Canis lupus familiaris: one gene and its partner. The protein of the gene in region 1 interacts with the protein of each later gene in a biochemical or structural test. Links are inferred from orthologs where the notes say so. Each region holds a gene or a part of one and is shown on either strand. Other genes may lie near its edges. The genes, in order: CDC34 and RNF7.

The links.
Region 2: the proteins of CDC34 (region 1) and RNF7 form a complex in vitro, tested with the Homo sapiens proteins (5 studies listed by BioGRID). The link is inferred for Canis lupus familiaris from reciprocal best matches to the Homo sapiens genes CDC34 and RNF7.

What each region holds. Positions count from the first base shown.
Region 1 is NC_049241.1:58,444,881-58,448,779, reverse strand, and holds the start of CDC34 (ubiquitin-conjugating enzyme E2 R1), read left to right. Parts: upstream 1-1,126; 5' UTR 1,127-1,148; coding exon 1,149-1,325; intron 1,326-3,510; coding exon 3,511-3,597; intron 3,598-3,702; coding exon 3,703-3,800; intron 3,801-3,899. UniProt on the Homo sapiens protein: E2 ubiquitin-conjugating enzyme that accepts ubiquitin from an E1 ubiquitin-activating protein, and catalyzes its covalent attachment to other proteins by an E3 ubiquitin-protein ligase complex. In vitro catalyzes 'Lys-48'-linked polyubiquitination.
Region 2 is NC_049244.1:38,109,681-38,113,579, reverse strand, and holds the start of RNF7 (RING-box protein 2), read right to left. Parts: upstream 2,629-3,899; 5' UTR 2,535-2,628; coding exon 2,360-2,534; intron 2,141-2,359; exon of another isoform or gene 2,073-2,140; intron 1-2,072. UniProt on the Homo sapiens protein: Catalytic component of multiple cullin-5-RING E3 ubiquitin-protein ligase complexes (ECS complexes), which mediate the ubiquitination and subsequent proteasomal degradation of target proteins.

The DNA of each region.
Region 1 (3,899 bases):
GCCAGGGGCACGGAGCCAGGTGGCCCGGGGTGCGGGGCAGCGGCTGCCCACTCTGCGGATGGGAACGTCAGGGTCCCCGCCTTGGGGCAGCCGCCGGAAGCCGCTGCCGGGCCCGGGGCTCTTCCTCCGGTCCCCTGTCCCTCTCCTCTAGATGAAATGCTGCTTCCCTCGCGCCAGACAAGGCTCCCTGTGTGTCCTCACCTGGGCGACGGCAGCGGGGGGCGGGGGGGCAGGTGTTGGGGCACCTGGAGGAGGGGCTCGCAGCACAGGTGCTGGTCTGGGGCCTGCCGGACACCTGCCAGCGAGGCTGCGGGCACAGCGCCACGCCCACCCTCTGGGTCCCTGAGGGCGTGGAGGATGGAGGCCGGGGCCAGGTGTGCGTCCAGGTGTGCGTCCAGGTGTGCGTCCAGGTGTGCGCCCGGCGCGGTGGGGACTAACCCCGCCCCCAGCTCGGCCCCGCGCTCCGCTCCCCCGAAGGGAAACTGAGGCCCCGCCCTCCGCTCCTCCCCTTCCGCGAAGCCACCTGCTCCGCCCCGCCCGGGCCAGGCGACCCCGCCCCGGCCCCGCCCCGCGCTGGGACGTCATAGAAAAGACCCCAAAAGCCCCGCGGCGCGTGCCGGGCCGGCGCAGCCCAGCCCTGCCCGCCTCCCCGCGCACAGACGTCCGGGGTGCTCGTCCGAGCGGCGGGCGGCGGCGGCGGCCTCCCGGGGGTCGGAAGCGCCCAGGCGCCTGCGCGCTTGGCCTCCCCCCCCCCCCCGGTCCCTCCCGGCGGTCGCGCCTGCGCGCTCGGCGGGCCGGGGGCGGGGACTCCACTTCCCGGCGTGCCCCGCGGGCGGGCGCGCAGGCTCAGTGCGGGCCCCGCCGCGGCGCGCAGGCGCGGTCGGGGGGCCGGAGGCGGCGCGCACGCGCAGCGCGGGGCGGGGCGCGCGGGCCAGGCGGAGGCGAGCGCCGGGCGGGCGGCGGCGCCAGAGCGAGTGGAGCGTCCCGGGGTCCCGGGCGGCGGCGGCGGCGGCGAGGAGGAGGAGGAGGAAGGCGGCGGCGGCGGCCCCGGCGTCCCCCCGGCCGGCGCGCGGCCCGGCCCGTCCCGCGCCCCCGCGGCGGCCCCGCGGCCCCGCGCGCCCCCGACCCCGGGCCCCGCCGCCGCCGCCATGGCCCGGCCGCTGGTGCCCAGCTCGCAGAAGGCGCTGCTGCTGGAGCTCAAGGGGCTGCAGGAGGAGCCGGTGGAGGGCTTCCGGGTGACCCTGGTGGACGAGGGCGACCTGTACAACTGGGAGGTGGCCATCTTCGGGCCGCCCAACACCTACTACGAGGGCGGCTACTTCAAGGTGAGCCGCGGCGCCCCCGCTCGCCCCGCTGCGCCCCCCGCCGGCCGCGGGGTCCCCGAGCCGTCCCGCCGCGCTGCCTGGAGCCGGGAGGGCCGCCGCGCCCGGCCTTGGCCGCGTTTCCCTGGTGTGACAAAGGACTGGAGCCAGGCCCCGGGCGGCCCTCCTGACCTCGCCGCCGGAGCCCGGTCGGGCCGGAGGACGCTTCTCAGGTTGCAGGGCCGGGCCGTGCACGCGAGCCAGAGGCGCGGGCCAAGGGGTCTCGCTGCCGAGCGGTGGGGAGCGAGCCCTCGGCCCAGGCCGGCCCAGGACCCTCCCTGCTCGGGAGCCTGCGCGCCCCGCCAGGCCCCGCCAGGCCCCGCCAGGCCCTGCCAGGCCCTGCCAGGCTCTGCCCCGGGCAGGGTGGGGAGCAGAAGCCAGGCGGTGGGGGAGGGGCGGCCGCTGCTCCCGGGGCACATGTCTGTGTTTGCACTTTCAGCTGATGTTTTAGCTGAGCCTGCTCGGCCGCGGGCGTGAGGGAGCAGCCTGGTCAGCTGGGGCGACTCCCGAGTTGCGAGCACCCCACCGTGGTGCTGCAGTGGGACGAGGGGGCGTGAGCGTGGACAGCCCTGGGCTAGCTTCTGCATGGCCGGGGAGCCCGGCCCCCGCTGGCACGCAGGGCACGGATTTGGGGTTGGCCACCTAGTAGCGCATCTAGGGCCCTCGCCAGCCTCCTGTGTCTGCTTCGGGCTGCAAGGGCGACGGCTCTCGCAGCCGGGACGCTCAGGCAGGCCGAGCCCCTGGGTGAGGCTGCAGAGCTGGAGGGAAAGGGCACAGGCTTTGGGCTTCTGATTTTTGCCGGTTAACTGGTTGCAAGGGATTGTGGGTAGATCCTCCAGGATGGCTTTGGGGGGGAGGGGTCATCCCACTTGAGAAGAAGGGACTGGAGCTGGGCCACGGCCAGATTTCCAGATGCCACAGGCCCTGTCTGCAGGAGGCCGGCCTGGGCCCCACACCCAGTGTGGTCCTCGTGCAGGTGCGACGGGCGGGAGCGGAGCTGGGGAAGCGCAGGGAAGTACCACCGTCACTTCCAGCCACTTCCCCCAGCGCCCTGCGGCCAGCCCGGCCTCCCGAGCCTCCGTGACCAGACGGGGTGCCAGAGACAGGCAGTTCAGAGGCCTCCTCCCGGCTTATCGCCGGGCGTCCTCAGTAGGGGACTTTCCTTCTCTGAGCCTGAGCTTGCTCAGTGGTGCGGTCTCCCCGGGGGATGCTCGATTCGGTGGGTGCTTGGTGCCAGGGAGCCCCCCCGCCCCGCCCCCGAGGGCCATCACTGGAAACTCTTAGGGCAGGTTCTGAGTTCCAGGAGTGCTCTGCAGTCGCCAGCCAGCTGCCTGCCTCCTGGGCCTCAGCATGGTCACCCCAGAGCAGAGGGACTTCCCCCAAATGCCCCGAGTGCCCCCTGCCCAGGAAGGAGACTTTCCAAATTCGGGCCTGGGGGAGTTGCCGCACACGTGCCCAGCTTTGTCTCCCAGCTCGCTGGCTCGCCCCTGCCGGCCTGGAGCTCCGCCAGGATCCGGGGCCAGGCCTCCCCACGTCTGGGCCTGGGGCTCAAACAAGCCAACACGGCTTCTTTACCTGCTGAGGCCTGAGCAGTGTGTCACCTGGGCAGGTGGCCCTCCCCAGTCTGCCCCGTGACCTTCCTGTCTGCCTTCCTGGCCCCCCCGTGATGGACACTTGTGGGCAGAGAGCCCGTCTGTCCAGCGCTGACTCATCTCCTCCCACAGGGCCCGGCCCACAGAGGTGTCGGGAGTGATTGCTGAGTGAACACACGTCTATTTTAATCTTCCCCACAACCTGGAAACTGAGGCCGAGGAGTCCACCACCGTGCGGGGGTGCACAGCTCCCAGGGCCCTGCCAGCCGGAGCCATGTGCCGGCCCGAGCCCGCCGCGCTCCCTGGGGCCTGGCTGCGCGTCCCTCCCACAGGCCTGGACTGAGCACGGCCTGAGACCTGCTCCCAGCCGCGGGGTGGGGCCCGGATCGGCTCGGGGGACCCTGAGTAGTCCTGGGGCCTGCGGGCGGTGCGTGCGGCAGGCAGGGTCCAGGCGGCCTCCGGGCGGGCGCGTCTGTCCCAGCTCACACCCTGGTCTGCGGCCCTGGGCTGGGGGCCGTGGGCGGCACTGGCTGAGCTCCTGCGCTCTGCCCTCCCAGGCACGCCTCAAGTTCCCCATCGACTATCCCTACTCCCCGCCGGCTTTCCGGTTCCTGACCAAGATGTGGCACCCCAACATCTACGAGGTGAGTCCGCCGCGTGCCCTGCAGCCTCCCTGTCGGGGGACACGCTGCGCTGCCTGCCGAGTGGTGAGCGGTGTGGGCCCTGATCCCTCCGTCCTGTACCCACAGACGGGGGACGTGTGCATCTCCATTCTCCACCCCCCAGTCGATGACCCCCAGAGTGGGGAGCTGCCCTCAGAGCGGTGGAACCCCACCCAGAACGTCAGGTGAGAGTGGACCGGGCCCTGTGTGAGGGGCTGCTCAGCAGATGGACCCCTGCCCCTGTGGGGCTCCCTCAGGCCCGGCCAGCCCTGGGGCGCGGACGC
Region 2 (3,899 bases), on another chromosome or scaffold:
ACAGGCAAATTTTGGATCAAGAAGTCATAATGAATCATTTAGGTGATTTATGAATTTGAAATATTAAGGAGATGGAATTAAGTGGGCTCTTTTGCAGAATCTAGAAATTTCTGGATTATGATTTTGATTGAGCTTTGATTAGACTCATCAAAACCCAACCTAAGAGTGAAAAACAACAAAACCCAACCTAAATCTATAAAAATTCATAGTTTTAGATAAAGAAAATTCTTTCCATGATATTCCTAAGATCTAAAACAGAACATTTTTAAGGAGTACAATTACAGCAATACCTTTTAGAATGATGCTACTAGGGTAAGGCTTAGGAAGTCTGAAAAACTTCCTTCTGTTGTCACCTGGCCACTAAAATGGATTTTAACACCTCATAAACAAAATACAGAGGTCTAGTCCAGAATACTTTCCTTAACTCAAAGGACAGCTGTTGTAAATCTGCAAAATTAATCCACAGTCAGAATACTTGCTATAATTAGAAGGTTACTATGAATGTCAACCATTTATAGCCCATATTCTGACTTACTCTAAATATGCCAGTACAGTTTATTTGTTGCAGTATTTCAACCATTACTTTGAATTCTGCATTTCTACTTACAAATCTAAAATCTTTCTTTGGGGAGAAATATAAAAAACACTTTCTGGAACACTTTCTTTTTAACTAAAGGAAATTTAAAGGATAAAACATTAAGCAAAGTTTGCTATGCAAAAGAACAAAAAATTAAGTTGCCTGGATAAGTTAATGATGCCACTCAAACTGGAAATTATGATAGTTTAAGTAACCGAGGCATAAGGGAGTGGTAATGCAGACCAATAAACTGGGTGCTTTTAAGACCTAATATGCAAAATAAGTGGATCGTGTCTGAAATCAAGTTCTTTCAAAAGTAAAAAATATCGTTCCAATTTTAGCATAGGTACTGCCCAAGCGGGCACTCAAAAGTAAAAAATAAACAATACTTGAATCCTATTGTCATAAATACTCTCTGAAACAAGATTTTATGAATAAAAAACAAGTGTGCTTAAAAAGAGTGGAAACTGAGATTCTCTCCATTCTAGCAGGTTTTAATGTCATCCCTTGAGAGAGCAATTCTGTTTATTTTTCTCCAATTCTCTCATTTTTCAGAGCAGGACACGAAGTTTTCAAACTGCAGAACCTCAGTTTTCCCCACCTACCCCTAAGAAACACGAAGATCCTCTCTCCGTGTTTTGATTGTTCTATTAAAAAAATAAAAATAAAAAAATAACTTGCGTTTAGGTAGCATTGTCTTTTGCAAGGTGGTTTGAGATCTTAAAAAAAAAAAAAAAAAAAAAAAAAAACAGAGAGCATATAAAACGTAACAGGATGAAGCTGCTCTGAAAGGTCTCGTTTGGCCCAGTGTTTTCATTTGGAAGTATCACAGAAAAGAAGTCGAGACTTGATTTGTGCAAGAGGGCTCTCCATAAAGGTCTGACTCGGAGCAGGGCAGGATCGTTGTTTTTTTTTTGTTTTGTTTTTTGTTTTTCTTCAGGAAATGGCATCCTATGATAGGGAGGGGCCAGAAGGAGATGGAAGCTTTATGTTTCTGAATAAGAGGGCATCCACTCTTCCATTCCTGAGAACCTTCAATATTTTATTTTATTTTATTTAAATGTTATTTATTTATTCATGAGAGACACAGAGAGAGCGAGAGAGAGGCAGAGACACAGGCAGAGGGAGAAGCAGCTCCCTGCGGGGAGCCCGACGCGGGACTCGATCCCGGGTCTCCAGGGTCACGCCCCGGCCTCCGGGGTCACGCCCCGCGCTGCCCCACGTCCTTGAACCACCCTGTGTCTCTCCGAGGCCCCATCGCGGCGCGGGCAGGTCCGCAGGCCTGCGCAACAGCAGTTCGCCAACCCAGACACGCGACGGCTGCCGCGCCTCCCGCCGCTGCGGGGCGGACTGAGGGGTCGCGCCGGTGGGAGCGGCCTCCAGAGCATCACCCCGGCGGGTCATCGCTGCCGTTAAGGTGCCCTTACTCGCCCGGGGCCTTTCACGCCGACCCCTCCGCGCCTGGCTTTCAAGAGCTGGAGCTCGCCGCACAAACCTAAGTGGCTTCTCTTCGCTGCCATCAAATGACCCAGTTTTAGTTCTTCGGCCACACCCTTTCTCTACCTGGAATTACATCAATTCCTCCGCTCGCTGCCCGCGTCCCTCCCGGGCAGCCCCGCTCCCGGCGCCCGGCGCCCCCGAGCCCCAGCGGCGGCCCCCGCGCCCCGCCCCGCCCCGCTCCTCCCGCCCCGGGTCTCGCCGAGCCTGCTTCCCCCGGCTGCCCCCGCCGAGTCGGCCCCGCGGAGGCCGTGGCGCGGCCCGGGCCTCGCGTGCAGCGCTTACCCATCACCTGGACCCTGCAGATGGCGCACGTATCGCACTCCACGTCCCAGCTCCACATGGCCACCGCATTCCACTTCTTGAGAGAGAACATCTTGTCGCCTCCGGACTTGGAGCCTGCGCTCCCGGAGTGAGAGGACACGGCGCAGGGCTCCTCGCCGTCTTCCACGTCGGCCATGGCGGCGGCGCGGAGCCGGCAGCCGAGACGTTAAATCGGGGGAGGCGGGCGGCTATGGCGGCTCCGCGGGGCCGCCCGGCGGGCCAGAGCGCCCCCTGCAGGCCGCGGACCCCGGCGGCGCCTACGACCCGGGCCGCCTCGATTGGCCGGCGCGGCCCAGTGACGTCACTGACGCCAGCGCCCGGCCGCTCGTCGCCCCGCCCCGCCCCCGGCCCGCGGGGGCCTCCCGGAGGGCGAGGCCTGCGGGGCGACTGCGCGCGAAGCCTGGGTGCCCGCGGCCCCGAGCGCCCTGCGCAGGCCCCGGGCGACCTGCCGTGTGCCTGCCGTGTGCCTCCCGGGAGCTCAGCGCCCTCACAGGCCTCTCGTTCGTGGCACCGCCGCCACCCGCGTGTGGACCCCGCCGGAGCGGGGACCGCGTCTTCGCCCTCGGCGCCTCGTCCTCCGTATGCAGGAGACGTTTGCCTCCAGGTCTTCCGACAAACCTGGTTCAGCGGTTCTCAGACTTTCGGGGCTCAGCACCCCGATGTAGTCTGTCTGCTTTTTAAGAAGCTTAAATCGACGGGCAGCCCGGGTGGCTCAGCGGTTTGGCGCCGCCTTCGACCCAGGTCGTGACCCTGGAGACCCGGGATCCGGATCGAGTCCCACGTCGGGCTCCCTGCATGGAGCCTGCTTCTCCCTCTGCCTGGGTCCCTGCCCAACCCCCCTCTGTCGCTCATGAATAAATACATAAAATCTTTTTAAAAATTTGAGGGGAGGATTGAAATGCATCCATTTAAAAGTAACGGTAACAGGGGCGCCTGGGTGGCTCAGTGGTTGAGCGTTTGCCTTTGGCTCAGGTCGTGATCCTCGGATCCGGGATCGAGTCCCACATCCTTGCAGGGAGCCTGCTTCTCCCTCTGTCTATGTCTCTGCCTCTCTCTGCCTCTAATAAATAAGTAAAATCTCTCTCTAAAAAAAAAAAAAAAAAAACTAATAGTAATCATCTCATTACAAGTTATTAGAGGGATGGTGCCCATATAATGTAGCTTCTGGAAAACGCTCTCATAAAGAGGGAAAAGAGGGAGAATAGCTCTGAATCCTGGCATGCAAATAGTTTTGACCCGCTGGTCGCCTGCAAGGATGCCCCGGACGCAGGGGTCCATGCTCCAAGAACCTCTGCTGCTGTTTAACCTCCTCTTTTTAATGTGTAGGAGTAACACCGCTATTATCATGTGAAGGTGCCAGTTATGAAGCCTGGGCGCTTCTCTTGCTAGCCTCGGGGTCATGTTCTTCTGTTTTCTCAAGCAAAGAGACAACATCTTCCTTTTTAAGAGATAAGAAAGTTGAGGTACCAAATGCCTAAGGAGGTGACTCATTACCACCACC